Linked DNA regions of Drosophila melanogaster. The protein of the gene in region 2 interacts with the protein of the main gene of each other region in a pairwise test. Each region holds a gene or a part of one and is shown on either strand. Other genes may lie near its edges.

Region 1 (6,123 bases), on a different chromosome or scaffold from region 2:
CGTTTCATACATGTGCCGCACTCGAAAATCCCACGCCAAATCAATCGGCAATCCCCGGACTAAAAGCCAGCCCAGAAAGTTGACAACTGACTGCGGATTGGAGTCGAGTCGAGTCGCGTCGAGTCGCGTTGAGTCGCGTCGAGAGTGGAGAAGATGACATCGGACAGGGACACGCGCCGCTGATGAGAACAAAGCCGTAACCAAATCCAATGCGAAACTGTTGACAAACTCCAAATGTCTCCGGCATTGTTGCTAATGCGCTGGGAATACCCGGTCACCAGTGGAGGCGGTCGTCCACTGCACGTGTGTTCCCGGCCGAAGTTTTCGGGCATTGAAAAGAGCAGGCTCAGCCGTTTAGCCATTTTCCCGGCTTCAAGTGCGGCGGGATTTCGTTTTTAGAACACGCGTAATTACAAACAAATAAATATAGATTCCTGGGTGGAAAGGAGGGGGGGGGGGGACGGATCCGGGAAACCGCATGTGCTGGGACCTGCGGATCGCCTTGGTCGAGCCTTCGCCACGTGTCACTAATATCCACTGCATCCCTGACAAAGTGCGTGCACTTTGGAAAAATCCAGTAAGTCGGGAATGACTTATCCCGTTTTTGGTAGAGGTCCAATTTGAAGCGGAACGGAAAATCTAAGGTATTCTTAGTATAATATATTATTATAATATCAGTATGATATCTTAAACACCTTAACCAACCTGAACTTTAATCATGATTAAATCTGGGCACATTTCAAGGGAAAGGATTGGAGTTCTGGTTGACTACACACTTCATGAAACTGGAAGTTTTAGTAATGTTGAATCTTGTTTCTAACCTTCATGTTTCATTTACTGCTCTTTTGTTGCAGTGTAGTTGTGTACTTTTCTCGCAGTGTAGCTGGGCTGGGCTTAGCTGGTGTAGCATGGCAGTTCGTCGGTGTCCCAAAGGACTCGAGTGACGTGTGCCGGGCGATGTGCAAAACGAGCAGAAAAATTGAATTATGCGCTTGCGGTGCTTCTTTCGAACCCATGGAACCCCTGGAACCCCTGAAAACCCTGGAGCTGCCTCTGCCTTTAGAGCCTGCCCTACCCCGAAGCCAAAGTCCGCCCATCACCCCGCCCATCACTCGTTTCGGGCAATCGACAAATATTTTGTTATTTGCACATAAACATATTTATCGAGTTTGGGTTTGGTTTTCCTTTCGCTTGTTTCAAGTGCGTACGCGCACCAGAAAAGCGAAGAAATGGGAAAACTGCGGGGAGGGTGTGGTGGAGGGAGAGGGGGAAGGGGTGAAGGGTACGACTGTACCCACGGGTGTTTTGTTTCACCCGTTCGCCCGTCAAAAATTGTGTAAATATGTTTATCATTTCCACTTGCCCGGCGCACTTAGTGCTCGGCAAACAGACGATCCACCCCGCTGCCAGGACCTCGTTGTCCTTGTGTCCTGTGTGTGACTGGAATTCTTCCCAACGCACTTGTCGCTCAACCGCCGGCCGCGTGTCCTTCGTTAGCAGTTCTTGTGTGGCTTTCCTATTAACGTGCCTACAGCCCGAACCACCCCCTAAAACCCCCCACCACTCCAAGTCCTTCTAAGCGTATCCGTTTTCGGTTTGTTCCCCCTTCCTTCCTTCCCTCTTTCCTTCCTTCCCCGCGTTTCCGGAATGGGTTCCGGCAATTGTTGCCTTTGGCTTATGTAATTTGTCATAATGTCAACAGGCGCAGATCACGCAGTACAAGCAAACACTTCACTCGAGAACTGATTGTCCATTGAAAAGGCTGAACGAAGTTTGGCAAGCCCATCATTTGTAGTCGAAAAAGTGATTAAGTAGATGACTTTTTAAAAGAGCTCAATTCGCTTTGAAGATATTGGTATGTTTTGTGGACTGGATTTGCCGGAGGTCAATATTTTTATAACTCAAAAAAATATATTAAATGGAATAATAAATCTGTATGCTGCAAATGGGGATTGAATAATTATTTTTATTGTGGTTTATATATTTTAAATGTGTAAGAAGTGATCACATGTAGCTGTATGCAATTAGATAGATCACTGGTCCATTTGCGCCTCTGATTAAATGCATCTCGCTGGCCAGCAATTCCCGCAACTCCCCATGAACGGTCTGGATGTCCTCCTCAGTGGCTCCACTATGGATGGGCACGTAGATCTCCCAGAGGAAGTCCGCTGGCGGATACGCGTAGGGATTTTGTCTGCTGGCATACGAACTACTTTGCGAAAGGAGCTCGTAACCAGGCACCGTTCGGTAGCTACTCTCTGTGGTGTAACCTGAGATTTGGGATTCGGATTCATCCGATTCAGATGGAGATTCCGATGGTAGAGACCATGGTGTCATCGCCAAATCGCTTCTTGCGGCTAATAATCTGATTCCGTTATCCTGGGATCGCGATCTGAGCGGTTGCAGATGCCTTATTCTGCTAGATTCCATACAGATCTCCGAGTGCGTTCCCTTGACCCTGTTCTCCATCTCAATCGGATAAACTCTCTTCTACCACATGCAACTACTATTCCAGTTCGAGATCGTAAAGTTTGGAAAGATTTGATTCCACATCGGCTGGGCAATCGAAGTCTGTGTTGGTGCCATAATCCTCAGTAAAATCGGTTTGAGTATACGAACTGAATGTCTTGTATATCCTGGCCAAATCGCGGCGAAAGGCGTTATAGGCAGTCAAATTGATATCGGACATCTGTGTGAAAAGAAGTATATATACTATATAGAAAAGCTATATTGAAATAATTTATGTCCTCACCTTTTTTTTTTTTTTTGAATTTTGAATTTCGGACCGAAATTGGTGTCCTTGTTATATGTTTAAGGAACGGAATGTAAATGAATTATCGAGTTGAATTTGACAAATATGGTAGGGCTTCCTTGTTTATTATTAGAGCATATATACATATATATGAAAGCTTACTGCATAAATAGAGCTTCCGATGAAAACTAATATCCCATGCAGCTTCTCTATGAGGATCTTGTTATTTTTCCAAAAATAGAGCTGTACAGGAAAAGCAGCTCCCCTGGGTACATCAATATCTTATACCTTCTCGGTGACCCCAATACCATTGGAGTCCGCTGTCTGTGGAGCACACTTTCAGCATTTTTCATTGCGGCAAAAACAAGAATGAAGTCCCGAATGGAAGGTAAAATTGTGGGTCTATCCAAGGCCCCCCGCTCCGCACTCTCCGTCGAAAGTCTGGCAAACAAAAGCAGGCTCAGAGCCAAGTTGAGAAATCAGTTGATTCTGTTATTTTTCCCGGTTATTGTTGGCTTTTCGTTGCCGTCCACTCCGTTCCTCCATGGCGTCCACATAAATCATTTTTTCGCCATTTTTCCGTTTTCGGTTGACGGGGAGTTGGGATAGCAAATGGTAGTGAAATGGTGGAGCCTCCCTGCACATTTCCACCTTCTGCATATTTGATGACTTTCTGGGTCTGCGCTTAGCATCGACGACAGCTTTTTGACTAGCCAACTGCCGGCTGGCTGGTTGGTTGGTTGGCAGGTAAGCCAAGCGACGACCTCCCCACCATTTTCTAACCACCCACCTTCGAATTTTCCTTTTTCTCTTTCCTTTTTTTTTTTTTAGAACTTTGATGCTCCCCCTTGAAGAGCTTTCTTTTCTTTTCTTTTTTTGTGGGGGGTTGAAGGCGAATGTTCAAGTTATGTTAAGTAAATAATGGGGCGTTCATATGACGCGGCAAACAGGGGAGGCGTGGGGCGTTTTTTACTTCGGCAGGAGGGTGTACACAGTCATGTGTGTTTTTGGAGCCAACTGTTTACTTTTATATTTCTTCGCTGCTAATAAAATAAAATAGGAATTTCGCTTCGTAAAAAGAAACGGCACACAAATGGTTGGGGACGTCAGCTGAGAATAGAAAGACATCTGGGACTGGCTTTGTTAAGGCGCCATTCAGGTTGGTTTTAAGCCATATATGTGAAATCTAAGACAATTATTGTACGAAACTGGAAGTAGTATGTTTCAAGAAATTCTACCTTAAAGCCCAATTTGTGGGAGAATCATGTTGTAGCTATGAATCACATATATGTACATGTATAAAACTGAATTAGCTTTGTTAAGGAATATAAAGGTGGGATTTAAGGAATGTCTTGTATTAAATATTTTACAAAATTATGAAATTATCATTGCTTTAAAATTCAATGAGTGTGAAAATGAAATTGTATCTTAGAATGCTATACAAGTTCTTTATAGGCTTGGAAACGGTACTAATTTTTACCTGTAACTTCTTATATGAAAAGTATACAAGATTAAACATAAAATAAACTTTAAAAATAAAATAAAAGCAGTAAAATTTTTGAAATCCTAGGAAGTCCTAACATATAAATGTATTTCCCATTTTTTATAAAAGTGAATATTCCTTGTGTTAGTTGCGTTTTATTTTTATTATTGATTCATAAATACACATCTTTTTAAAATATTTTGTACGCTTAAAGATGTTAAGTGGATTTGAGGACTGGAATATAAAACTTGAAGTAATATTTATTTATTTAGTCTAACATTTATTTGGTTTCCACTTACCACGACGCACAAGTTTTGTGTATTTCGCAAAGTAAGAACTTTTTTCGCTGCTTTGAAGTAAACAAGTGGAATGTATAAAAACTTTTCGCAGCTCTCTTCATACATAGGGATGTATATTTTTCTATATATATATATCTATATATATATATGTAGGGTATACTAGATAGACCCCCCCTTGAGTGTGTTTGTGGAGTGCCTGTGGCGGGCAACAAGACAGCATTGCGTTGTTGCAATATGCCGTATGTAACTGAAGTGAACTGAATATTTTTTGTTTGTGCAGCACACTTTAGGAGCCCCATTTCCACGTTCTCCCCACCACCACCCCCCCCCCCCCTTCCGTGAAAAACAGCAGCCACTCCCCGTTTGGCAGCTGGCAAAAGCTGTCTCAGTCCTGCTCTGGCTTCTATAAAAAACAATATCCCGCAGCGAACTTTATTAAATTACACGATTTTGACAGTTAAGCAACAGCCAGCCCCTCCGAAATGTACACGCTTTCCACTTTCCACTCCCCCCCCTCCCCCCACCCTCCTGCGGAAATCATAATTTTTCTTATTTTATGTAATACGCTCGAAGCTGCCAACAACCCGGAGAATCCCGGAGTAACATCCTTGATGCCCTACCCCATCCATCGCAGAACTCTGTAGCAACGTGTTGGGGTTCAGGAGCTTTCTGGTATTCCTGAGGGGCCGGTTTAGGCAAATACGAGTCGAAAACGCTGGCAATAACAAAGTGCGCAGAGATACAAATTCCTATTTTATTTAATTGTCAAAACCTTGCAGAGAGTTTTATGACTTCATCATGTTAAATACAAAGGGCTTGGTACTCGACTTGGTTTAGAATTCTTACATTTGGTATGATTTTAAAATAATACTAGAAAATGTTCCTTTTTGTAATGACAAAATTGCCTTTCGATTAAAACAAACTATAGTTACATTAACAACAAGAAGTACACCTATAGTGCAATCTCTAAACTATCAGATACCCGCTACTCTGTCAACTTTCTAGCTTTTATACTTTTGTTTACCCTATGAATATCGTATATAGAAGTTTAGTTAAAAATTTCACTGTAATAAATAAGAATGTAACATTTAGATAGAGTATTTCGACATTTGGCTTGGCAACTCTGGATAACCTCCGGGGCGCTTTTTATTTTTAACGCAATCCAAAATCCTGGCAATACCAACCGGGTTGGTGGAACATTTTCGTGGTCTTAGCCCCTGGGGCTGTTATCAATTCAAGGCGGGCGGGAGGTAGTACCCATGGTAGCCGACTTGGATACCTACTACTTGGTGGTTTTATCATTCCGCAATTAGCGCACCCATGTTCGCTCCCGCTTATCATCGTCTCCGGACTCTGGAGCAGTAGCTTCGCGTTTGGGGGATATCTATTTGCTGCTGGGTGTAAATATTTGAACGGCATTTCAGTCGATACCTTGAACATTGATAAGGCGTGCGCGGCGGTATCTAAGTATCTGGGTATCTGTGTATCTATAAATACGCAACTTGTGCACTCTTCTCGTTTTCTATTTCGATGTGCCCCGCTTGTAGCTTCTTGGGAGCCCCGTGTTCCTGCGGTTATCGTCGTCTGGT
Region 2 (7,572 bases):
GCTCTTTTACCTGCTGTCTCGCGGCTAAAGGGGCGTGGTCGAGCAAAAGAAATGGCCGGGGGCGTTGCCCGATGATATTTGCCTAAGCGATTAGATTAGATGTTTGCTCACAGATTAGCAAAGACAGCAGTCACAGACTGCAACTTACGATTATTTATGAAAAGGAAAACTTATTGACAGCGTGCACAATATTGCGCCAGCTGAAGAGGGTTAATAATGCTTAGGAGCCAGGGGGGCTGAACAAAAAAAAAAAAAAAAGAAGTGAACAGAGAACAGGAGAAAAAGGTGAAAGGGTGTGAAGCTGTCAAATGTGTCAGTCCGCCTGACAAGTGTCAACAGAGTCCTTGCCAAATAGATTTCATAAAAGTGCCAGCTTACCGAGACCGTAAAGTCATAAATTGCATTAACCCTTTCGGGCAGTGACCAAATCGAATGCGATTTAAGCAGATCAAATAGTCAATATATACTCGTTTATATGGGTAGGACAAAGGACTGGATTATTCTATTAATATTTGATATTTTATTTTCATAAACGAAATCTGGAAGTTTTACCACACTCCTACCACCCAATTACCGAGTAATTTGCTATGCATTTCCGATCTCCTGATAAAGTTTCACATTTTTGCTAGCTGCGAGAATCAGAATTTATTAGCTAGTGTGATGTCATTGGCATCTTTTACCCTCTTGCATATATGCGTAATTAATTCAGACATTTTCTCCCCGCATTAACAGAAGGAAAAAAAGCCGAAGAAAATAAATTGAAGTGCGTCGATTTGTTAACCGCGCAGCTTAAGTCAAATATTTACGAGCTGCGACTTTGGCCTAAAGCACTCCTGGCCATTTAATGCAAGCCTGCGGCCATTAATATCACCCCCCCGCCCCACCAGACATTGGTATATATTTATATATAGTTGGATGTATCCTTAGGGGTAAGCCAAGTAGGACAATTAAGAATTAACATATTAATAGAAGTTTTGCGCAAATTATCAGGACAAGAAAATATGAAATTCGTTCAACTTCTTGTATTTTTGTTATTTATAACGTTCTCGTGTTATTGACTGCCCAGGGGATGGGGGCGTGGCAGGCCGAAAACAATACGTTGATTGTGCTAATTTATGCCCCCATCCTGGCAGAAACACACACATGTGCAGAGCCAAGGAGTCGAAGGATTCGGTTTTATGGCCCAAAGGTTATGGGTGTCTGCTCTATCTGTGGGGATGCCATAAAAACCAGGCAGAGAGCGCCACACGGTCGTCCTCGTCGTCGGCTGTTTTTAGGTGCTCGCTTTCGTAGGACGCAGGACGAAGGACACAGGACCCCGATGAAAAATGGCGTCAGCCACGAAAAACTGGACCAACTATCCTATCTGTGGGCAAAATGGTGGAAGACAGCGAAACTTGCGCCTCTTTAAGCAATCACAGTTGTTATTAATATTAAAGTAGAGAATATGGCAAGGAAAAAGACAGTATGTATATGTATCACCATTCATTTGCAATCACTTTGCCTTCAATGCTGCAAAATCGAAAACTAAAGACAGCTGAATGGTTATCCAAGTGCTCCACTTCGTTGACGGGTTGTTAAATAAAAAAACAGAGTAGAAATAATAATAACGAACGCCCCGAAAATGCTGAGTAAATATTTAAAGACAACGCTCTTTTTTTTTTTTTTGTTATTTCGACTTGTTGTATTGTTTTTTGGCCAACTCATTTAAAAGTTTAACAACAAAAAAGGGTTAAACAAATTCAAAATTCTGTGGCAGGCGATAACAGTCGGCGTGGGCGTAGTGGTAGTAAGTATATATATAAATATGTAAGTGTTGTGTCCAACAGGCGGTTGAATTTTTCTTTTATTTTATTTATTTTTTTTTTTTTTTGGCTGACAGTGACAAAGCGACGTCAGCAGCTGAAAAACTGAAAATCAACTGGAGTCGGAGCGGCCCCCGGACTTAATTTGTTTAAACAAATTATGTGTGGATAACATAGCGATACGGATACGTGGAAAGGTGTTTAGCAGCTGAAACTATAACAAACAGAGCGCGATATATCGTACACATGCACATAGTGTTTTATATTATATATGTACATATATATGGTACCGCCTGAAATTACAATGATTTCTGTTGTGCGGGGGCGCAACAAATACGAGTATCGAAGCCCCGAAGCCTTATCACACCGGTCGCCTTCGCAAAGTGTTTTAGCATACAAAATTTGGTTTTATTTGCCTACTGTCCCCCAATAGAGCTCGTTTTCATGGTGGCTCGCGGGGTTCACGGGGTTTTGGGGTAAAAAAAAAAAAATAAATAAAAACGAGGAGAAGAAGCGGTTAGCCAAAAGCTAGCGCTGACTGCTGATAACACCCGCATATGGCGGCAAGGTAAGCGACTGGATATCTGGACAAACAAATGAGCAAACGAATGGAACCCCGACCGTAAAACCGGAGACCGCAGACCCGTAGACGGACGGACAAACGGACGGTACGAGCCCACAGTTACCCCGCCAGGTTGAGTGAATGAGCCATATGCAAATATGGTCGCGGCCTGGAATCGGGCATTAACATATAGTCCACGTGTGCGTCTGTCTGTGTGTTAAAGCTGGACACACATGGCGACTGATAAGCCAAAGGAAATGGGCACAAGGTATGGGCACAACAACATTAAATAATAAAAGAGCATTCAACCGAAAGTGCAATACAAATATATAGCAATTAATATTTAAATATAGCCAGGTGAAAACTTAAATGTATGATAGTTAGTATGTTTAAATTTAAACAGCTTCTCATGTTTTTGCTTTGAATTTTTTTTTTATTTATGGGAAACTAAAGCCTAGTTAATGCCACACATTAACAAACTAGATAAGGTATTATTGATATATTATAAATATAGCTCATTTCCTTTCAACTATTCCAGGTTTGAGTAGGTTATCTAGTTTTATTCTAAGAATCTAAGAAGCGATTAAGTGCAACTGTACTTCCGGTTAGCTAAAATCCAATTGGTCTTTTGAAGTCGTGCGTTGTTTGAACATCCGTTTGTAATCGAAATGTAAGTTTGAGGTGGACCGATGGCAAAAGACCCGCTCTATTTGCTTAGAGCCAATGAAATGTTCCCATTGTTGCTCTCTGCTCACTTCTTTTGATAAGACATATGTGTGGCTTGTAAGTTTTACTTTTCATTTTCAGGTCGTTGTTTTTTACCCTGCTCGGTTTTTTTTTTCGTTTTTTGTCGCTAAAATATTTGTATTTGTATTGTGAGCAAGGTGCAGAGAGGCGATATAGAGAAGTTTGTTTTATTTCCCGAAAGTCAACGACAGTCACGACGGACATATGTAAATATAGCTGCGATCCATATAGGTAGGTAAGTAGGTTGCCCCCTCTTTACCCACACTATACACCGCTGGGTGTGTGTGCTGGTGTGGGTGCGGGCGTTGGCTTATTGTTGTTCTGGTTGTTCTTCCCAGTACAGCGCGCTTATCAAAAATTGTCCGCACATTTGCCCGGTTTTTGTTGTTATTTTTTTTTTGTTGTTTTGTATCTATTTGGGGGACAACATAGAGCGACAACGGCAAATGATTAAAGAGACACCCATGAACACCATGGTAAAAAGAAGTACCGCAGCAAAACTGAACAGAACAGGAAGAGCTGTTATAGGAATTTCTGAGAAGTTCCAAGAAATGCTGCGGTTATCTCCGTCCAAGATACACGCCTCTGGGCAATTGCTTATTGGGGAAATATTTTGGGTGCTCTTGATTATGATATAACAACGATTTTAGGGTTCGGTCACTCAAGGCATACCACAAATTAAACTAATGAGCTTTTACTGTTTTTAATTTTAAACTTACGGCTCAGCGAACGGAATCCATGATCCTCACTGATCGACAGCATTTTGTTGTACATCTTGATTTTTGTATAAAAAAAAAAATATTGTGGTGTCTTGTGTTTTGTTTTTTATCTTGTTTTGTTTTACGTTTCAAACTTTTAACACATCACAAGTTATTGTTGTTTTTGTGGTTTTTGGTTTAAAAAAAATAGTTTTGGCATTGAAAAAAAAAGTGAAAGGCACAAAAAGATTGTAGTGACAGACACACACGATCGTAGGTAATCCAATTGTCCTGCGTGTGGTTGTCCTAGAATGTTTGGTTTTTCTTGTGTTTTTCTTATATTTGATGAGCACTTTCACAAGACACGAAGCGGTAACACAGTAACGGTAACGGCTGCGTATCGGTTGCGTATCGGTTAAACCGTTTCGAGTGATTGTGGGGAATGCGAGTTAATGTTTCGTAAATCGACGTGTTTGTCGGCCGAAGGATCTAAATCTGATTTGAGGTCGTGAGCAGTGTGTTGTTGACCCCTCGGAGGCTTCACGTGGACTGACAACTAGTTGGCTTCCTGGGACGCTCGAGGGTCGACGGTCGTCGAACGTTCAATCCTGCCGCTGAGGCTGTGCCGTCGCCGTCGACGTCGGCAGAGACAGCGTTTTTTACTCACACACAGCGCACACACACCGCTCTTCATTCCCTTTGACCCTCGAGGGTCGGGGCTAAAAAAAAAAAACCATATAGGAAAAAAAACGTGTGTAGTCACCACTACACACACACACGCGCGTGCAGGGGTTGCTGGCCCGTCTCCCTCTCTCCCTCTCTCACTCATGCCCTCTGTACCTCTCCCTCGCACATGTTCGAGTTGCGAGTGGACCAAAGGCAAAATATATGGGAAATAGGGGGATGAATTCATCTCTGGACGACTACTGTCCGTTGATGCCAGCGTCTACGCCGACCGAGGCAGCGACGGCGACTACGACTGCTCCCCCGTAACCCCCCCCCCCCCATACCTTCTAAAGGAAAAATCTGTCTACTCACATGGATAAAGGAAAACTATCGACTGTCCGCCGCTAATCGCTGCCCAAATTGAGCTGTTACGCACAGCAGAGGGTTAAAACGCCGGCGAGGGAGTGTAACTATAACTATGTCATGAGCATAAAGATTGGAACAGGGGGAGCAGCAGTAAGGGTGTTGATAGAGCGAACGGGTTGTCGGGCAGCGAATAACTGACCAATGACAGGGTCGCACTTGGGATCCTAACTAAAGATAGGCCTTAGAAGTGCCACAATAAAATCATAATTTAAAGTTCAATTATAACATATTGATAAAAGTTGAAGTATTTTAGGCTTAACTAAACACTCTTTCAAAAACACCAGGAAATTTTTTGTATATTCATATTACTTTTCTGAAAATCTACCAATTATGTTCGAATTCGAAAAAGTAATTCTTTAGGCTAATTAAATGAATAAATGCAATAATATCCTAGTCCGTAGAGGTCATAAAAGGTTATGACAAGCCAAAGATATGGATTAGGTTTGTTATTTTGAAGTCAAGCCTAGAAATAATTTTCGTATCTCGAAAGAATAATTACTTCTTATTGGCTATTCTTGATTAAGATACTCGTCCGCTGTTAAAATCAGTACGAAGTGTTTGAAATTAGTTTAGTGGGCATATAGAGTTCTGTAATACCATACTATGAAGTTGTTAGTTTTAGATAGTTTCTAGTTCTTGGATATCGAGTTTAGCAAGGGGATCAGATTTAGTTCGTTCATAAAGCAGGAGGGACATTGGTGTAGCAAGGGGAATGCTCGAGTTCCGTTTTAGTTGAGTGAGCTATTTATGGAGACAATGCTCCACAGATCCTGGAAACGTCGGAGTTCCTTGAACTCTCTCTCTCTCTCTCTCTCTCTCTCTCTCTTTCTCCAAATCTCGGCATCGTTTATCCCAGCATGGGATGTGCGCAGTTCTCTCTGGAGTTCAGATCGCGGAAGCTGCGCAATAAGTGTGGCGACCAGCCCCGATCTCAGAACCCCCCTTCCCCCTGAATACATATATCTAATAATAGACGGGATTCGGGGAAGGAGATGAAGATGGAGATGGAGATGGACAGGCGGATGCGTAACATTCTCTAAGATTCTCTTCTTCTGCCTCGTTGGTTAATCCTTTCCCATTGTCACGAGGGTAAACGAATTTTTTTGTTCCTCATGTGTGTTGTTTTTTGTTTTTTTTTATGTTTTTTACTAAACCATACCACGGGCATAACGAACCCTGGTTTTTTTGCGCGCGCTTTTGATTTACCCCTCGGCAGGACTAAGACGCGGCGGCGCTTGCGCAGATGCGAGCTGCCTTGTAAAAGGATGCTGCTAATGTCCTGGAACGCTAAGAAGAAGGCAAAACAACAAAAAAAAAAAACTGGTCCCTGTCCTTTGTGCGCTTTAATCAAACGCAAAAGGGGCGGAGGGGAGGACATCCAGGCACAGGACATCCAGCCCGCGTCCTGTCGCCTTGCAATTATTTTTTATGCAATTTTTACCGATCGCCGCCTGCTTTCCTCAAAGTTTCCTTTTGTGTTTCTTTCGATTTCCTTTGTCCCGGGGTAGTGTGATTTTTTTTTCCCAACCGTTCTGTTTTGCAACCCCCTAAGGATCTGCGGAGAGTTGCGAATTCTGTGAGTCCTGCCCGAGTCCAGGTAGCCTCACTGTGTGCGTCGTGTGTGTGTGTAACGGCATTTTTTGTTCTATGCAAATTTTTTTTCCTTCCCCGATATTAATTTTTTATGCCCCTCGTGCGTGTCCTTATTGTTTTTTTCTCGTCCTCCCGATTTTGGATGTGTGTGTGTGCGCGCCTTGGGTTTCCTTTTTCCGTTTTTTTTTTTTTACTTTTGGGTGGTGGCCAAGATTTTCCCAAGATATGAATCGCGAGGGTTGGGGTGGCGTTTGTGTCACATGTGAGGCAGGCAAAGGTTTTTTTCGCCTGATTTAGATAGAGGGTCCTGGACGAGGACAAGGACGAAGCAGCCGGCGCAGCTTCGCATTGATTACCGTCGCTTTTTTAATTCAATTCAAACAATGATAAAAAGGAAGATGGTCTTGGGTTTCGTGGGTCTCTCACCCTAAGACGGGCAATTGTCGTCTCCCCTCCTCGGATGTTGAATTTTTTACCTTTGCATTTTTTCTTACATTTGGCTGTCATTCTTTTGGATAATTTTCCCTTGATATTCACGTTTTCCTGGGCCAGCAGCTTTGGTTTAAATGAGCAAATCTCACTGGAAATGCATTCGTTTTTAACGGAAAATTTATGGCATACAGGAAGGGTGACCGGTTTTCGGGGGCTTTGCTCCTTTCGGTTTTTGTCAGATTTTTTGGTTTTCTGGGTTGGCTGGTTTCTGCGTGTTGCAGATAAAAATCCTGTGGCAAGGACTTGGTATTTTTTTCTAGCAAAAAAAGCGTTGAATGAATATGGAAATTTGATCGGTTTGTAACGGTTTTACTAGCGGATCAGCTAAAAAACTTCGAAAAATGCAAAAAGCTAGCGAACATAAATTAAATTCAACAAAAAATATGTTTTAAAAGAAAACTTGTTTGTCCTGCGAAAGTTCTTTTGCAACCAGATCTTGATTTTCATACTTTTTATTTTTTTTTTCAATCTCATTTGCTTTAGAATTTAAACAAAGAAAATTAAAGACTCTTAGTTTATGGGATTTCCTGAAATTAATTTGAATTCCCAGAAAACTTGCACTTTCATATACCCAAATCCAGTT
Region 3 (10,894 bases), on a different chromosome or scaffold from region 2:
GCCCTCGAATCCATTCCATTCCACTTGCACAACTTGACGCTGCACATAATTTTTGCCAACACATTCCATAGCTGCCGGGTGCTGGGACCGCCGTCTCATTACTCATTCGCACCGCAGTCTGGAAACCGCAACCAACTTGGGGCTTCGGTCCAAGTGGTAGTCTCTCCAGTGGAGCCGCGGCTTGAGTTCGAATCGGTAAACTTGGAGCGCCGGCCAGAGCGGACGCTAATAAAAGCGGTCGTAAAACAAGTTTGCCTAATTGATCGAGCGTACGCCAAAAACAAAAAGAAGGCTCGGACAAAGAGAGACCCCAAGCGCAAGGCGTTAATACCATACCTCCTTCGACTCGAACTCAAACTGGACTCCATTCCCGGGCTGTGGGGCATTTTTGCCATACCATGCCATACCATCCGAGCCATGCCATCCGTACCGCCGACAGCAGATCAAAGGCAGCGGCTGCGGGCGGTGGCGTTACTGTGCTTCGGACAGGCTTTTAAGCGATGACACCAAATCGCTATTTAGACACTGCTCCAATGCTTCGGTGATCCGCGCGAGATCTGGGTTCCTCGTCTCTGGGTTGCCCCATCGCGGGTCTCTTGCCTGCCAACTTGTTAAGATTTTATGGTCTCGCGCTGTGGTCCGTGGGGGTCATTAAAATTAATTTGGATCAATTTGGTTGGCTGCCAAATTGTTGACAATGAAATATAACGATCTCCACCAAGGTACCTCGCATCCTGGTAAAGCCATCAAAGTCCGAGTGCCTTGCGTTTACAACTTATTTATTTTGTAGAATTAAAAAGAGGCTTAAACATACAAAATCGTAGGCTTCATTATGGGCTTGTGCTGTCTTGGGCTAAACTACCTCTATATAGAGTATAGCGATCCTAAGTGGTTGGCACAAATCATTTCAAAACTATTTGCTGTAAGCAGTTGACTAAAAGGAGGAAGACATTTGCACAGTTAAATGGTTACTCAAGACCCGGAAAACCCGGCAAAATCTTCCTCTAACTGGGACATTGGTCTTGGCTATATAGTATGACTAACGGCTAGGGCTTAAATAAATATTTTGGCAATTTTTGAAATTTGGGTTTGGTTAACTATAGGTTACTTTAGTGCGTAGCTTAAGCCATAAGTCAAAGCTAGCTTAGTTATTCGATGATCGCTCTGGCAGACCAGTGCGCGTGATTACGCTGGGGGTCAGTTCAGTGTTGGAGCTGCGACTGCTTTCGATGGTGGGTACTCTATAAGGTATGATTATTATTGAGGAGTCCGACAGGGTAGCGAAAAGTATCTTTAACTTACGGCTGAACTATCTGACGGTTTATCGGCACCGTGCCGGGCAGATGGGGCGATTGACTCTGTGGCGTTGATTGCTGACTGTAAGGAGAATGGCTCTCGCCGGTCACGTGATGACGGGCGGACATGTTGAGCGTTCCGTCGGGGGTGGGCGGCGCCGTCGCATTCAGCGAAATGGACACCACCCGTTGCCCACCCGCTTGACCCGTCGTCGACATGTCGTGCAGCTCCGGACTGGAATTCTGCTGGCTATTAAGCTGGCTATTCAGCATGCTAACTGGCACTTGGGAAGGATACAGCGGACTGTTGGCCATCAGGTTGACTCCCTGCGACATGCCTGGTTGGGAATTGGGATTAGTTTATTGCATACTGTAATCCCTGGCAGGTGTACTCACTCGGCAGCGGTGCTCGGTGCATGGGTGCTCCTCCGTTGTTCTTAGGCTTCCGTTTGCGCTTCTGGATGCCCTCCTTCTTCATCGACAGCGGTCGGTTCATGTTGTGCAGCTTGTAGTACAGTCCGCAGGCATTGCACACCGGATTGCCCTCGTTGTTGCGACGCCACAGGGTCGTCGAGTTGGTCTGACAGTTGGCGCAGGTGACCCCGTTGCGCCGGTTGTTGGGGGCGGCGGCGGCCTTGGGCTTCGCCTGCCTCTGGGTTATACGGGGCGCCATCCGCATAAAGGCCGGGCAATTGGGACAGAAGTACTCGCTACCCTTCCGCAAGAACGGCCCATGGCAGTTCTCGCACTTTAGCTCGTGGTTGGGCGACGATGTGGACGAGGCGGTCACCAGACTTCCATCGTACTGCCCTATGCTGCTGGCGGGCGGCCAGTGGGAGGTGCTCATATTGCCGCTCCCGTATTCATCAATAACCTGCGGATGGAAGTTGCTCTGTGCAGCATGCGGGAGAACAGTTAGTATGTACCGCCTCAAGAACCAGTAACTTAAATTATACTTACAAATTGAACACTCTGGTACTCCGGCGGGGCGGGAGATGCCCATAAAGGCTCGATGCCGTTGCCGCCCTCAAAAGATATCGTCTGAAAAGTAGCCGGTCCAGTCTGGCGCAGCAGTCCAGTCTGATTTAGGCCAGACTCGGACTTGGCCAAGAATTGACCGGTGCCCGGAACACTGTAAATAGTGTTTCCCTGCTGAAGCGTTGCCGCATAGCTATTGCTACTGAAGCTGGAGCTGGGCGGGAAGGGGGCATATGCGTTGCCTAGGTCGGCGTAGGTCTTGGACTCGTTGGCATGCACACTGCCATCCACCACGGGTACATCGTAGTACATATTCGAGGCGGATGTCTCCGGTCCGGCGGTGGTGAAGCGTACATCCTCCGTAACGAAGCGCACGGTTCCACCATGCGAACTGGTGGCAATGTGAACCGTCTGGGCCGCCGCCGATGCTGCAGCTGCCGCCTGGTGTTGGTGGTGTTGCTGCTGATGCTGCTGCTGCTGGTGCTGCTGCTGCTGTTGGTGGTGATGCTGCAGTGCCTCCGCCTCGCTGCTGATCACTATGGTCTCGCCGTAGCTAGCTCCGTTGGGTGTGGGACATTGCTGTTGCTGCTGATGCTGGTGTTGCTGCAGTTGCTGCTGCTGTTGTTGCGACTCCCCCGTCGCCTCTCCCTTCTCGAGTGTTTCGATTTTGATCGCGGCCACATCGTCACCGTTGCAGATAATAGGATAGGCGAAGATGGTGCCCGGCGGAGCTCCGGCAGCAGCTCCCACCTGTTCCGTCACCTCTGCGTTGCGTGGCGCCATCTGCACGTAGTGAGTGGCTCCGGGAGATTGGTGTGCACTGCGCTGGTACTCGATGTGGCTATCCGAAGCAGATCCTGAGCTCGCGTTGCTGGCGTTTGTGCTCGGTTCTCCTTCACGAGCTTCGTTTAATTCACTGAAATGTTGTTAATAACACTGTTAAATAACAATGGTAAATTGTAACTATCGATTGCCATTTGCATTAGATGATTGTGTTTAAAAATGAAATTTGTGAATGCTTATGTTCTTAGGAAAAGAAGGTCTCCAGAGGTTACTTACAGTGTGCCGGCTGTGGTGAGAATACGGCGCTGGTTGCGTGGCACCACCACGTACTGCTCCTCCGGTTCGCTGACGCCCGCTTGGCCCGTCTGCACCACCACGCCCACCGATGTTGCGGCTTGCTGTTGGTGTTGTTGCTGCTGCTCCTGCTGCTCATCCAGATTGTTGGCCGTCTGCTGGGCCAACTGATCGGCGCCGTTGCTGGACTCGAGTTTGATTTTGTCCAGCAGTTGAAGCTGCTGCTTGGTTAGAGCCTGATGCTGTTGCTGTTGCAATTGTTGCTGTTGCTGTTGCTGTTGCTGTTGCTGCTGCTGCTGCTGCGTTGTCTGCTGTTCCATCTGCAATGAGCAAGCGACAAGTGTTGAATGCCATGTTTCGCCCGGCTCGTCTCAAAAGTGTGGCTCCAGTTCCGGCCGTTGCAGTGCGAACTGCCCGCCTCGGTTTCCGCCACAAAAGTCAACAAGACGCAAGCCCAACCAAGACCGCTGAGACGGACTTCAAAGACACCGCCCGCGCTCGACTCACAGCTCAATTTGTCGCCTACAACCGTAAAGTACCAGAAACTGAGCCGAACGGAGACGGGCTTGGAGGCGACCCCTCTCCTTTCTACCACTCAGTTGCTCAGTGTCAACATTGTCGAACACATTTTTCACTTTTATTCCATTTCATTTCCACCAGCAGAAGTATTTGCTCACAGAACCCTAAACTCAGAGCGGTGCCTTGGTTTCGTTTTCATTTTTCTTGTGTATTCGTGGTTTTTTTTTTTTTTTTTTTTGGTTTAGTTTGGCTTTTGGCGGAAATTAAACTTGGCCATAAAATCGCTTTGCTTTCCCCGCCATACGTCAGTCGCTTTTGGGTTTATGACCTCATTCCGTTGGGGGTGGCACTTCCACTTCCACTCCAAAGCCCCATACCCATCCCCATCCCCATTCCCATCCTCGAGCTTGTGTCAACACATTCGATCGTCACTGTCACCTGATTCACGATGCGGCCAGGTTGAAATTTACCGCCAGTCCGCTCATGACAAGTGCCATATAGCTCAGAGGCTTTCAGGTGGTTTCCACCTTTACCATGGCTATAAATATACCAAAAAATGTGTGTGCTTATGTGTAACCATCACCACCGTCAATTGAGGAAATCCACAGCAACACTAAAGGAAAATTTTTGTGGCCATTGAAATATATTGCAAAGATAATTGCTTTTAACTGAGATATAACCATATACTTGTACAGGTGTTTTTTTTTTCCGAAAATAATCACCACGCTGAATTGATTTAATACATTCCATAAAAATCCCCACTCTCCCTTTATATGAAAAAACTAATACTTTATCTTCCATTTAATGAAAATTGATTCACTTTCGCAGAACTTTAGGTTGACGTGCCACAAATGATTGATACATTTTTTGCGTGGACACAAGCCAAGTTCAATGATGATTCAGTTGGTGACAAGCCGTAAAAATGAAAAATCTAACGCTTACCAAGGTACAAAGTTTAATTACTTATGTGGAAGGCATATAAATGGGGGACGAAAGAGTTCCATGGAAACTGATTGCATTCCGCCGGCGGTGATGACCGTGCCAAGTTTTCAACGTCTTGGCCAAAGTTCAAAGAATTCCCTGGATGGAAAGGGTGCGAGATAATGTGGTGCAAACGTCACTTCAGACAATCGTCTGCCCGAAATGCAGATAAACCCGACTTTGAGTGTGTGTATATAGTAGTAGTACGATAGGTAGGCCCCCATGCACGTGCCATGTACCGCGAAAAAGTTAAGATACTACGGCCGAACGATACGGACAATATCTTATCCGGGCGCTATCAATGTACATAATCAGCTGCTGCTGCTGCTGCTGGGACTGAGAGGTCATGGTTGGTATCCCCCAACTGCCCGCACCCACTCTCAGTTGCGGCTACGTCATCAATAGGGACAGATATATCCAAGAATTACAAAAGTTGTGCAAGCGATGTTTGTCACCCGAGAATGGCAATGGCATGCGCTATTTGCTCGGCTTAGTCAAGAATCGTTGCGAGGGTGTGGAGTCCGCTGAACTTATGAATGAAATCTGCCCAGTCACACCCACAACCATACACACACACACACACACGTACATTTCGTACTTTATCTATATAAACAAAAGATATTGACTATATAATCGCACCTCGTTTCGCTTTCGTTGAGCTTGGGTTCGTGGTTGAGCAAATTTCAAAGGCAGCTCTGACCAAACATTTTAAGGCATTTAGAACTGAATAGAACTATAAAACTTGAATATAATGCAGTTGTGATGAATGCTATTTTTGTTAAAATTCTAAATTTCTCGAGGAAATTCTTTGCCAGTTTTACTTTTTATTTTAGACTTATAAAAAAATATGAACAATTTCTTGGGTAAGACTGCTTAAAGGCTAAAGATGTGAGAGCACTTTCAAAATATCTATATAATTAACAAAAGAATGGGAAGTAAATAAATGTACCCATTTTTGGATATACATTTATACCCTTTATATCTGCCCTCGTTAGAAGATCCTTCGATTAATTAAACTTCACTGCAGTTGGCTAATGAAAGTGAGATAAGACTCTCGACTGCCAGCTGCATTTACAGCTCTATTAAAGGGCCATCAATCGCAACCTTCGCCCTCTCTCCTATCAGCCATCATCCACTGTCAACTGGCGACGCGTGTCTAATAAAAGTATCTGCAACTGGAACTGCAACTATCGATGCCGCCATTGAGCAACTGTTAAGGGACTGTTCTTCCATTGGTCGAAAGGACACTTCCGGCAGGATAAAAAGTACCCCCAGATGAGCCAAGGGTTGGCATTCATTCACAAAACCAACCCCAAGCCCATGAAGGATACGCTAGAGACAGGGATAAGGAGCAGGACCAAAGCGAGGTGATAAGATTGACATAAATTTCACATTATCCGTGGCCAGCAAAAAATGGGTAAAAACAGTCCCTTTTCATGAATGAAGAGGAGCGAGCAGTTGAAAGTCGGCTGCGTGTTTCAAATTTTATTTTTGTCAAAGGTATTTTGACGCCACCTTCGATCGCAGCTGAATTTGGACCTCATAAAGATTAGCCATCTTTCCACATTTAACTTGCTTTCTTGTTGCCCCGTTTTCGTACCCATTCTCGTTTTCTTAATGGTTTCGGTTCGTTTCGGTTCGGTTTTTCTTCCAAGAGCAGACACCAAAATAAGTGTCGCAGTTTGCCGCTGCATCCCAGATGACTCATTCATTATAAATCAATTTGTCTTATCTTATTTCCCTGGCGCTAGAACTGAAAAAAATCCATATCGCTGCCGTTTGCGGGCTAAAATCATTTTCTGGCTCGGTACACCGAAGGATGTAAAATCTATATGGCTATTCGAGCTGTAAATACCTTTGAAAGCTCTTTATACTCCGTTAATTAATAAATTAATATTTATTCGTGCCTTGCGACTGATCTATAAACTTGAACTATCTGCTTTTAATGACCCTATATGGCCTGTCTATTTAGCTTAATGAACTTGTGTGAGAAAACGTTAAAAACTTTTATGATCTTTCAACAAAGTAGAAATGATAGATAGGCTTATAGAGATCTCGTAAATGAGCATCAAAAAGGTATTTAAATGTTTTTAATAGAGTTCACGTATAGTTGCTTTAAGCGGTCAGGTTGATATTCTCCATTCCGATATGGATTTTAAACGGAATTGGTTTTGAAAAGAAAATACCGACTTGGCAAACTTAATATATAATACCCAAAAATTACGCTGACTATTTTTGAATAATTATAAGTTTATTTTACCCACCTTCAGCTGCATGTTTACACTCGGTGAGATAGTTTTGCAGACCATCAAATTGAAGTTACGCCGCTTCTTTGCGTTTCTTCCAGCGTTTTATCTAAGATTGGTTTTTATCACTTGATTTCAGTTCTGTTGTGTTTTCAAAAATTTATCACAAGCACGGCTTGTCCAGGTGTTTGGTTCACTTCTCCTATCAATCTGGGCGCCCGAAAAAGTGCCGCGCAAAGTGAGCAAGTGGGGAAAATTGGCGAAAATTGACGAAAATTGGTAACTTGGGAAAGTAGGAACTTTGGAGCTTTGGGGGCGATCTAATGCTGTCACCCGTGGGGCGATTGTGGTTGTGGCCCGCGCGCAACCTTTGCCAGTTAGCAGTGATACGAAGTGCTATTTTTTCGAGACCAACTGGGCTCTGGTGGTGGCACTGGTCTCCGGTCTATGGGCTCGATACACTAAACACTGAGCACTCTGAGCACCAAGCACCTCACTTGCGATGACAACAACGACGGCGACGCAATGCGGTGCCTGCGGCGCGTTTGCCGCCCAATTAGCTACCCACACCGATGAAGATCCAGCGCCTCTGCGGTTGGGCGGCCTCACACCTGTGTGGGTGCGTGGTCCTGTCGGTGTGGCAGCGTTATGATTTATTCTGTACCGCCTCGCCTGGTATTGGTTATCTTATCGACACACATGCGATAAGATACGCAACGAGTGTTGGTGCCACGGTTGCGATAAGTATCCGTGAGATACAAATTGCGCCTGCGCGCTCGGCCGATTTTCCAACACACCTATGTTACACCAATGTTCCGAGGTTTCCGAAGAGTGGCGTCAAGAGGCCCACCAGCCGGCACAGTTCAGCCAGCACCACATTTGATTCCATTTCCACCCTTCAGCGCTCCTCACCCTCGCCCCCTGCTATTTGTCAATTGTGCAATTTAGTCTAGCGCATTTTCTAATTGCACTCATAAAACACTTTTCTGGCAAACTAATAAACTCGAGCAACGTTAGTCAACGTCAACAGAATATCATCGGATCGGGCTTGGGCCTGGAAAGTGGGACTGGGCATGGGCATGGGCACGGAAACTTTATATGACCCCACGAACAGTCGCCCGAATGTGGGCCGCTTTGACAGCTCGACTGCTCGGTTGTTGCGCTCCACTTCCACTTCTCCAGTTCTTCTAGTTCTCCACACTTCACAATCCACTCTCGAGTGTTGTAACTAATAAACACCGCCGGAGGAGGCGGAGGTGGAGGGCAGGAGCACACGTGGTCGAGGATCAGGTGCGGCGCATATATTGCAAAACCCCTGAATTGTCACCAGCCAGGAAAAGATTGAGTTTGAAGTGGTTGGGTGATTGGAGTGCTTGGTCAGAAATCTGATATATTTTTCAACCTGTCAATTACAGATACTTTGTAAGCAGAGATGTATGTGTAGATAAATATTGTAAACATATCTTTACTATATATAGGGATGTAGTAGCTAAATAGTACATTTTATAATAAAATGTATATGAAAACCATGACTTAAATTCTAAAAAATTCAATCTAGGCTTATATGCTTAATGCTAAGCCCCTATGGCAATCCGTACCAACTCCTTGCTTTCTTTTCTTCGAAGAGCTGCAATCTGTAAGTTAGCCACATATCTTGGCCACCCAGCCAAGTTGGCCCAGCGAATCATAAATTGTTTATAGTTAAAGTCATAAAGCAAGCAGATATATGACGGCCATTAACATGCACAATCCCCTCGGAGTTGCTTATAATGCCACAATTACGGGCAACTTTCCGCTGCTCCCATGAATGGAAATCGAGTTGAGGCGATAATTTTAATTGTTGCAACGCATGCGGTGCATAAATCATGGGCAAATCTTAAGAGCAAAACCGGCAGACAAAAAGTATCTAATAGTAGCTACTGCTGCGTGTCGCGAAATATCTGTGCGGTGATTAATCACTCAAAAAGTTGACGGCTATGCCAGTTTCGATCGTTACAAATGGCGCTACACGAAATCAACATTACAGGAGATTAATGCTGAGGAGGAGGACTCCAAACTGGATACCCGGCCACAGGACTGACTCATCGAGGTGGCTCTCTTGCCACGGCAGAGCCGGGCAATTAATACCCTAATTGATGGCACCGCCGCGCCTAGCTTTAGGTGCTTTGCCGGCGAATTTACGACCCTAAGACGGAAGACTTAGGGGCGGCGAAACAGACAGAGTCTTAAGATTGCTGACCATGGCATATCGTGTACACCCGGAATCGTACACCCTTCAACTTGTCCACCTCCATGGAGTTTCAAGTGCTATGTCCGTGAAAGACCATAGAAGCGAACCAAAACCTTAAGAAACCATAGCCTAAAAGTTATCTAGCCTCAAGTGTTCTCGGCCAGTTGACAGTATCGCCGATCTTTGTCTGGAATGACGCTATGGAATTTAATTTTTATATATTCTTTATTGCGCTCTTGTTTTGGTTATAATTGTATTATTTTTCTAGCTTTCCTTTTTGGTCTTTTTCCAATTTTGTTTGGCGGCACAAACGGGTTGTTCTGATAAGGGGAAGAACTCTTTGGAAATTAAACGTGCCAGTGGCAACAAAGGCGTGCGCCATAGTTTTAATTATAGTCGGCAGCAGGGGTGCGATCCGATTCGATCCAAAGTCCCACCCCGCATGGCTGGTTGCCCAATCCCTGCCAGCCGCAATGGCGTGGCTCAATCGAATAAAAATGGAATGGAAAGATGGAGATGCAAATGGAAGTGCCGTAATGGCTCTCCCTTTTGGGCGGCTGCACTCTGCGCTTTGCAACCGCTGGCAAATTGGGTTCAAGTAAATTCTATTAACCCGCGCCGAGGTCATAAATCATCCGGCCAAAGCACGCTAACAACATTTCGGACATGAGTTATGAAAATGGAACTGCGCACTCCGCACTGCGGGATTTCATGGTCCCAGGTGGAGGAAGAGGCACTGCCTACCAGCTGGAAGAGCAGGAGGTCCAATTCCGCAGAAGGAGCTGGCAAGGAAAAAGTTAAGCTTTCTTTGTTTACGCTCCGAAGAGTTGTCACTTGGCTAACGAATGTTCATTCGTTTATTTATGGATTGGACACTCGGACAGTGATGTATCTTTCGAGTGAGTCAGGGGAAAGTTCGGATATCAGAGAAGAAACAAGAGTTTTTGTGGAGGAGCTTGTTGAGGAGCGGTAAGTATGTTATTAAACCAATAACTTATTATTTATAACCAAAACTAATACAATTTTTATCCATATCTTACTATGATTTCAATTAACATACATTTTCGATCTAATGCATATTCCATTCCAACTGCATAGCCTCTTGCGATTGGCAGTGGTCTCTTTTTTGTGAGACTCTCTTGCTTGTTTGTTAAGTATACGCACCTTTGTTTGCCAATGGGGCCAGGTTGTGACTCATCACTATAACTGGCAATCCATAATAATCCGACAGAGGTGCTCAGTGCGCTTGCTGCTGGGCATTGTTTTGGCTGGGAAACGTAAGACATGAAACGGAGGCCACAACGGCAACAAAACAGCAACGACATCGACGCCATTAACGTTAACAATCATGGCTACTGGGGTTGATTGGGATCAGCACTTGGAGTGGGTACCCGGAGTGGAGTACGGACTGTGTTGGGTTTTCGATTCGGTTTTGGGTAGGTAGCTGGTTAACTGACGACTCCGTCGACCCCAAAACGCATACAAACATTATTTATTACTTATGAGCGCTGACATTTTGTTGTTCGTTGCTTTCAAAGCCTTGCGATTTAGCCATGAGAAATTTATGG
Region 4 (6,936 bases), on a different chromosome or scaffold from region 2:
ACAATTTGATAAGTATCTTAGACATTTTAACGATTATCGAACAGCATTACATATTGCAGCAAAACCCGGATGACTTAGCCAATGGATCGGCGACGATCATCGAGGCCAGGCCAAGAAATGGTTTAGCTGCATTGCGAGCGGAAAAGGCGCGAGCCGAGATCAGTCAGTTCCAGAGTAAGACCAAGTTTCTTAAAACGGAAACGGACAATCTAAAAGTAGAGCGCACACTGACTTTGCTTAAGATTCAGAAGCTTCGATTGGAAATCGACGCCCTACGCGATTAAAATGTATTTTAACTATAGATAACTTTTAAATGTCCGCATGGTGAACCCTTAATTTTTGTTAAGATGACGAAAATGTCTGTCTTGAATTCAACATAGATTTATTACATTTAACTTTGTAAAGGTGATTACAAAATACATTATTTTAAGCCTGATTACTCGAATCTTTTTATTAAATAATAATGTAATAATGCAATGCTTACAAGTGTTATTAAAATCGATGTAATCTAATGCTTACATACATAAATATTACATACATCAAAATTATTGAATAAATAAAAATACATAATAAATAAAACTAGAAATACTAGTACAATCGATAGTTCGCACTCTTCGACAACCCTACTGATACCCATTCGATAACTGACCCCAAGCAACCCTGTTCATCACATGATAGTCAGGGTGATATCGGGGAAGAGAAAAGGTTTTCTTTGCAGTCGTTCGTCATATGATTAAAAGTCCAGCGGAAAACTGAAAATGTTGAGAGTTTTCGTGATTTTCTCGCTGTTTATAGCGGCCAGTAAGTAGATCTACCATCTATAATCAAGTAAAATGCATGCGCAGCAAGTGGAAAGCGGTCACAAAGTGGATATTCTGTACTCATCGATTCCTCTTTGGGGGTGGTGACACCCAGAACTCGGGACTCCAAAGGGCTCCCCACATGCATGCGCAGAATCTTGGACAAAGGAGACGAATATGTTAGATTCTACAGAACTTATGAGCTACGTCTTCCTATTTTGCAGTCAATGCCTCTGGCGAATTCACCGTGCTGAACCGTCCCAAGGCAATCAGTTTCAAGGGCAACGATGCACTGGAAAGCCACTACGTGGGTGATGTACTCTACGCTTCCATGGGCAACGCCGTCAGCGGCGATACCAACTGGAACGGACTGACCATCAACGATCCCTTCAACCTGGCCAAGGGCGTCATTCTGGTGCATGTCCAGGGCATTGGTCACGTGACCACCGCCGGCAACGTCAAGACCTACGAGCTGACAGGCTCCGGAACGGACGCCTCTCTGAACGCCCTGGCCGCCGAACTGGAGGCAGCCAACGAGCCCGTCTGCGATATTAACTTTGAGCAGTTCGACGATGGCGTAAGTGGTGTCTTAAAGGGGAAAAGCACATTTCGTTAGTCAGTTAGCTAATTTGTCAAACCGCAGAAAGCATGATCTTCATCTGAAAGTTCGTTTAAAGAAGCTTCTCTACAATCCGCTATAACTTCCCACAAATATGATAGATAGTTATTAAACCTTAAAAATTAATTAATCACATGATTTATAGAGTGAATCATAGTGCCTTCCCCCTTACGCATATAACGTAGAGACCAATGTATATTTAACCACATATTTTTTATAGGTTCAAGCCTGGAAGTCCTGCTTTGGTGATTTCGAGGCCCCAGCCGCCAAGCCCACCAAGCACCTGAACCCCTCTCTGCACACCGCTGACAAGCAGTTCCTCCAGGAGGTTGGATTCATCAACAGTGCCGCCGATCATCTGGCTGAGATGGCCAAGCCCTCGAATGTCCTGATGCTGCGCGTTTCCGTCGATGGAGTGGCCAAGGCTCATGGCGAGAAGTCCGTGGCCGTGGAGGAGGCCAACAAATTGCTGTCGGCCGCTATCAGCCGCCTGCTTGCTGCCTCCCAGAAGTCCAGCGACTCGGTTCTGTTTGTCCAGACCACGGAGAAGGACGTGGCAGCATCGCGTGCCAAGCGTGATACCATTGCCGCTTCCACCACCAATCCCTACAACCTGGCCGTCTACTACGGCAGCGACTACCCGGTGATCTTCAACATCATCCTGTGGTTCATGGTCGTCTTCGGACTGTCTCTGCTGGCTATCTGCTACGCCATCGCTGCCATGGATCCCGGCAGGGACTCCATCATTTACCGCATGACCTCTACCCGCATCAAGAAGGACAACTAAGGAGGAGCAGGAGGAGTTGAGAAGCGAGAGGAGCAGGAGGAGCGAGAGGAGCTTGCGTTACGCTTTGTTATTTCGTCCCCCTTTTAAGTTGAAATTTGCCAACTTCTACTTCAATCCAACAGCGGATAAATTGTGTGTTTGTGTGTGTGCGGACAGCTGTCGCAGTAGTTGGTTTTATTATCTATAAATAAGTATTAAAAAACTTTTCAGTTTTCAATGCAGTTGCGGGCGTCGCAACAATTCCATAGAAATTTGTTACATTTTCCTGTTTTGTTGTACTTTTTAGGTTTATATATATATACGAATATGCACAACATACTCGCCAAGTCAGTCAGTTCTTCAAACGATTCATCATATGTAAATTATCAAAATGTGAAGTGTTGAAAAGTAAAGTTAAATATATATAGCCTAAAAAGACAAAGTTGCGCCTGGTTTTGTTATCTAGTTTTTGGGGCAAATGATAATTGAAATCATACGTGGTATTCTTGATAATTTATTTAATTATTGCACTTATAAAAAGGTTAACATGATAAACTAATATAAAATGAAAGCTATTTCAATTTTTTTCTTCTCAAAATCGTAAAGTATGGACCTTAACTTTTATAGGTTCATGGAATGACTTTGGCAAATTGCGGATATAATATAACACAAGTTTTAAATTGAATATTTAAATGAATTCCCTTTGATATTCGTTAATTCAAGTTACGCTCCCCAATGATCGTTGCCATTATCATAAGGTGAACTACTTCCGCCGCTCCAGGCACAGCATCCATTGCCATTTTGACCCACGGAGCTCTCCCGCAGCATGGCCTGCAGGTGATTAATGTAGTTGATGGCAATCCTGGGTAGGCAAAGATCATATAAATATATTACAGAGCTCTACCGCAGATACTTTCACTTACCTCAAACTCTCGATTTTGGAGTACTTTTTCCCATTTGGCTTGGATATGGGTAGCTTGGAGCGCAGTAAGTCAAAGGCTCGGTTCATGTCCCGCATCCTGGTTCTTTCCCGATCGCAGGCGGTGCGTCTATAGTCCTTCTCCATTTGCAGCGCCTTCTCCCGCCAGGCGGGATTGTGCTCTTTGGCGATGTCCACCTCAGTGCTATTGGCTATACTACCGCCGCTATAGCTCATATACATGGGCGGAGGTACCAGCTCACTGGGTTTGTTGCATTCCAAGCCCACTGGCGAACCGGTGGCCACCTGGCCAGCATGCCACATCGACACCGGCTGAGGTATAACGCTATATGTGGGTGGCAACAGACCCATATTGTGCGCTTCCTTCTCGTAGCCACCCATCACGCTGGGTGAGTAGCTATGCGGATGAGTTGGCGCATATGCCAGCAAGCCTGCTCCATCCGCGGTTAGGGTGTAGTTGAGACTAACTGCCGGACAACTGGACGATTGAGGGGCACCGAGCTCTAGAAGAACGGGCTGTTCCGATGATTCCGCCTCGCCCTCGGATCCACCGCTCAAATAGGGTCCACCGGTGGTGGCTGATACGGGCACCAAAACTGGCGGTGGATCACCCGGTACGCCGGCCGTGGAGCTCAGCAGTTGATCCGTCATCGCTTAAGCCGCTTTTCGAATGACCGATCAAGAGTTCTGGCCGGACTGCAGCAGGTTTACCTGGACTCGGTTGGTTTTTTTTTTTTTAGCTTGTACCTTTTTGTTTTGCTTACTTTTAGTTGCATTAGAGACGACTCTGGCGATCGTGATGAATGGCTCACCATCGATCCATCGATTCGAGACGTGACTACTCATCCGGGGTTGATGAGGGCCACATCTCGTCTAGTTTAAGAGGCCACCGCTTTGTACGTGTGTCAACAGGTGATCTATAGGGGACCAACTTGTCGTCGAGGGTCCTTTTGTCCCATCCAATCGCTGTGCAAACAAAGCGGCTTAATTTCCTCGCTATTGTCCGATCGATCCGACTCCGACGGCTGCGAATGGTGATCGAGGCGCGTGTGGCAGGCTGGAGTTGCGTCCGACTTATGTCGGATCCCTCTCTGGGATCAGCGATCGACGATCGTCGCCACAACTTCAGTTTGAGTTTTTCTTTTTGATCGTCGCTATGTACAAACACCCACACTGGAACTCAGCCCATATGAAAGAGTGTATTTTCGACGCATGTAAACACAAGTGTTTTGACTTAATTAAAAAATACACACATATGCATATAGCTAGTTATGAATATAGGTTCGTCTATATGAAGGTAAGAAACCTAAGCTTGGCCAATCTAGCTCCAAACTTCGCCCAATTCTAATTTCAAACTAATTTGGTTTCTCTCTAGTCAATGAAAAACCGTGATCGCCAGCTAAGTGCTCTTATAATCCTATTAAAAATTATATTACATATTCTATACCTATTTTTATGATTTTTCTTAATTGAAATAGATACTTGCTTAAAAGACTGAGATATTGAGCACAGTTTCCATTATTACTACATATCTTCTTTAATTAATAGTAATTAACTAGCAAATTATTTTTTTCTTCCGAAAATTCAGAATTCCTGAAACTATAAACCGCAAGGAAAAAACTAGAAGAATATCTACTGATAGCCCGCGAAATTCAATTCATGTGCAAGATCTCGGGTTACCAGAAAAAAAAAACAACACACAACTAGAAGTGAGAAAATTACTTACATTTTTCCGAAGTCGAGAGTTATTTTGCTAGCTGGCTAACCAGAGAGGCACCTTTGCCCGGAATCGGAAATGAATATGAGCAGAGTGTAGTTTCTAGGGAAACCTAGAGAGTTGACTTGTTTCTCTCCTTGGCTGAACGTTTCGGGTTTCCAGGAAAATGTATAGACTTGCTAACAACTTCCCAAATGTGGGTCACTGTGGTGGCAATTGCAAATCGAAGCCGAAGTTTATTGTTTTCTGCTTTATAAAAATAAACACGCTGTGTAAAAAATAAAATAAATAGCGAGTACAACGATGCATTAAGTGGGCGCCACACGGACTCAGAGCCAAGGCATAGATCAATTCTGTATAGCTATTTACATAGAAGTGCCTTAGTCGGTTCGGTGCTAAACTAATATCGCTTAGTTCGATTTAAGCTAATTTCATATAAACTGGTAGTAAGAATCGATGTCAAGCAAATGCAGGTACCTCAATTCGGCTACCGTTCTAACTTCCGAACTTCAGGGGTCGTAGTTCGAAGTACTTGTCCAGCACTTCGTCCGTAATCAGCTTGCGGGCGGCCTGATGCTGTTCCACAATGGGTGTGAGCGTCTAAGAAGATCATTTGAGCACATTAATTACAATGTTTTTTGGGAAGATTGTAGCATCATCATTGCACTTACCTCAACTGCCAGCTTCTTGATCTCGCCCGTAAGCATTTCGCCTTTGCTGTAAGCCACTCTCACCTCCTCCAACTTGGCATCGTCCTCCAGGAAGAACTTCAACAGCTGATAGGAGACATCAACTTCCGGAACTCCGCCCAGCTTGCGGTGCTCCTCCACAGATACGCGTCCTCCGGAGAAGGCGTACTTGTTGATCTTGTTCTTAATCTGCTTGGGCGTGTCCGTCAGATAAACAGCCGAGTTCTGGTCGCTAGCCGACATCTTCGTCTTGGCACCCTGCAGCGCCGGGAAGAAGGTCGAATGGATGAGCGCGCATTTGGGAAAACCAAGACGTGGAGCCACATCGCGAGTCATGCGGAAATATGGGTCCTGATCGATGGCGCACGGGATGAGGCAGTGCACCTTCCTGTTGCCGAAGATGAAGGGGAAGGTGCTGGAAATCGCGGGAGCTGCTTGAGCGGCTGGGAAACCAATCTTGCCAATGATGTCTGAGTCCCCGAAGCCAAAGATGCCCTTGACCTGATTGAAGGTAACGCACTTCTGGATGCGAATGATGTTCTGATACATGGCAGGACATTTTCTGTAAGTAATATAGATAATACAGATTATACAGGTTAAAAGTTTTTTAATTTACTTACCCCACGAATTCCAGGTTATTAAAAATGAACGTCTTGTTGACATCGAATCCAATGGCCACAATATCCTTGGCGTTTTCACGTCCAAGCTTGATGGCATCCTCCACTTTCAGATCCTTCCACAAGGTCTTCTCGTCGTCGGTCAATTGAATAACCAGCGGCACATCAAAGGTCTCCTGCAGCCACTTGGTCATGATGAAGGGCACCAGGTGGCCCACGTGCAGGGATCCGGAACTGGGACCGCGACCAGTGTACAAATAGAAGGGTTTGCCCTGTTCGCGCAGTGTTAGAATCGTATGAAGATCCCGGTGCGAGAAGAACATGCCCCTTCGGATGAAGTGGTGGGCGGGCTTTCCCGTGATTTTCTCGAAACGCGCGATAAGCTCCTCATCGATTTTGCTGGAGCCAAACCGTTCTGCAACGTGTCAACATGTCGTTTGATTAACTTGATTAATAATTTGCCTTGCAAATGTCTTCTTACTTATCAGCTTATCATAGTCGACGCCCGCGTCATTACTACTGGCCACATTCCATGGATCCACAACATCTTCAGTGGGTGCAGTGGCTCCCTCCTGTGCCTGGGCATCCGTGCCCGTTTCCACGGGTTCTGCGTCCGGTTTTCCATTTAGTGTCAACGCCTCCACGCCCTCCACAACCGTCTCCTTGGTGTCCGCCATTCTGTCAGTCTGATTGTTAAGAATTTAACAGATAATTTAATACTGGCCAGTGTAATTGGGCCCTTCACATGTGAAATGAGGCGCTTATTAGTGTCCCAACCATCGATTACA

Evidence for each region.
Region 1: the proteins of Cph (region 2) and CG17344 interact in a two-hybrid assay, tested with the Drosophila melanogaster proteins (one large-scale study listed by BioGRID).
Region 3: the proteins of Cph (region 2) and GATAe interact in a two-hybrid assay, tested with the Drosophila melanogaster proteins (one large-scale study listed by BioGRID).
Region 4: the proteins of Cph (region 2) and sage interact in a two-hybrid assay, tested with the Drosophila melanogaster proteins (one large-scale study listed by BioGRID).

What each region holds. Positions count from the first base shown.
Region 1 is NT_033779.5:19,098,734-19,104,856, reverse strand, and holds CG17344 (uncharacterized protein), read right to left. Parts: upstream 2,814-6,123; 5' UTR 2,753-2,813; intron 2,690-2,752; coding exon of another isoform or gene 2,507-2,689; 5' UTR 2,470-2,506; coding exon 2,005-2,469; 3' UTR 1,948-2,004; downstream 1-1,947. Other genes in the region: CG43731 (uncharacterized protein), read right to left, coding at 2,507-2,689.
Region 2 is NC_004354.4:7,223,248-7,230,819, reverse strand, and holds the start of Cph (chronophage), read right to left. Parts: upstream 4,366-7,572; 5' UTR 3,889-4,365; coding exon 3,834-3,888; intron 1-3,833.
Region 3 is NT_033777.3:16,009,004-16,019,897, reverse strand, and holds GATAe (GATAe), read right to left. Parts: upstream 7,625-10,894; 5' UTR 7,160-7,624; coding exon 7,115-7,159; intron 3,671-7,114; coding exon 3,333-3,670; intron 3,190-3,332; coding exon 2,256-3,189; intron 2,188-2,255; coding exon 1,692-2,187; intron 1,634-1,691; coding exon 1,303-1,633; intron 1,242-1,302; coding exon 1,145-1,241; 3' UTR 765-1,144; downstream 1-764.
Region 4 is NT_033777.3:9,259,967-9,266,902, forward strand, and holds sage (salivary gland-expressed bHLH), read right to left. Parts: upstream 4,177-6,936; 5' UTR 3,777-4,176; coding exon 3,109-3,776; intron 3,048-3,108; coding exon 2,909-3,047; 3' UTR 2,688-2,908; downstream 1-2,687. Other genes in the region: Ibf1 (insulator binding factor 1), read left to right, coding at 45-284; ATP6AP2 (ATPase H+ transporting accessory protein 2), read left to right, coding at 759-801, 1,025-1,377, 1,640-2,206; TrpRS (Tryptophanyl-tRNA synthetase), read right to left, coding at 5,338-5,442, 5,514-6,093, 6,152-6,563, 6,630-6,825.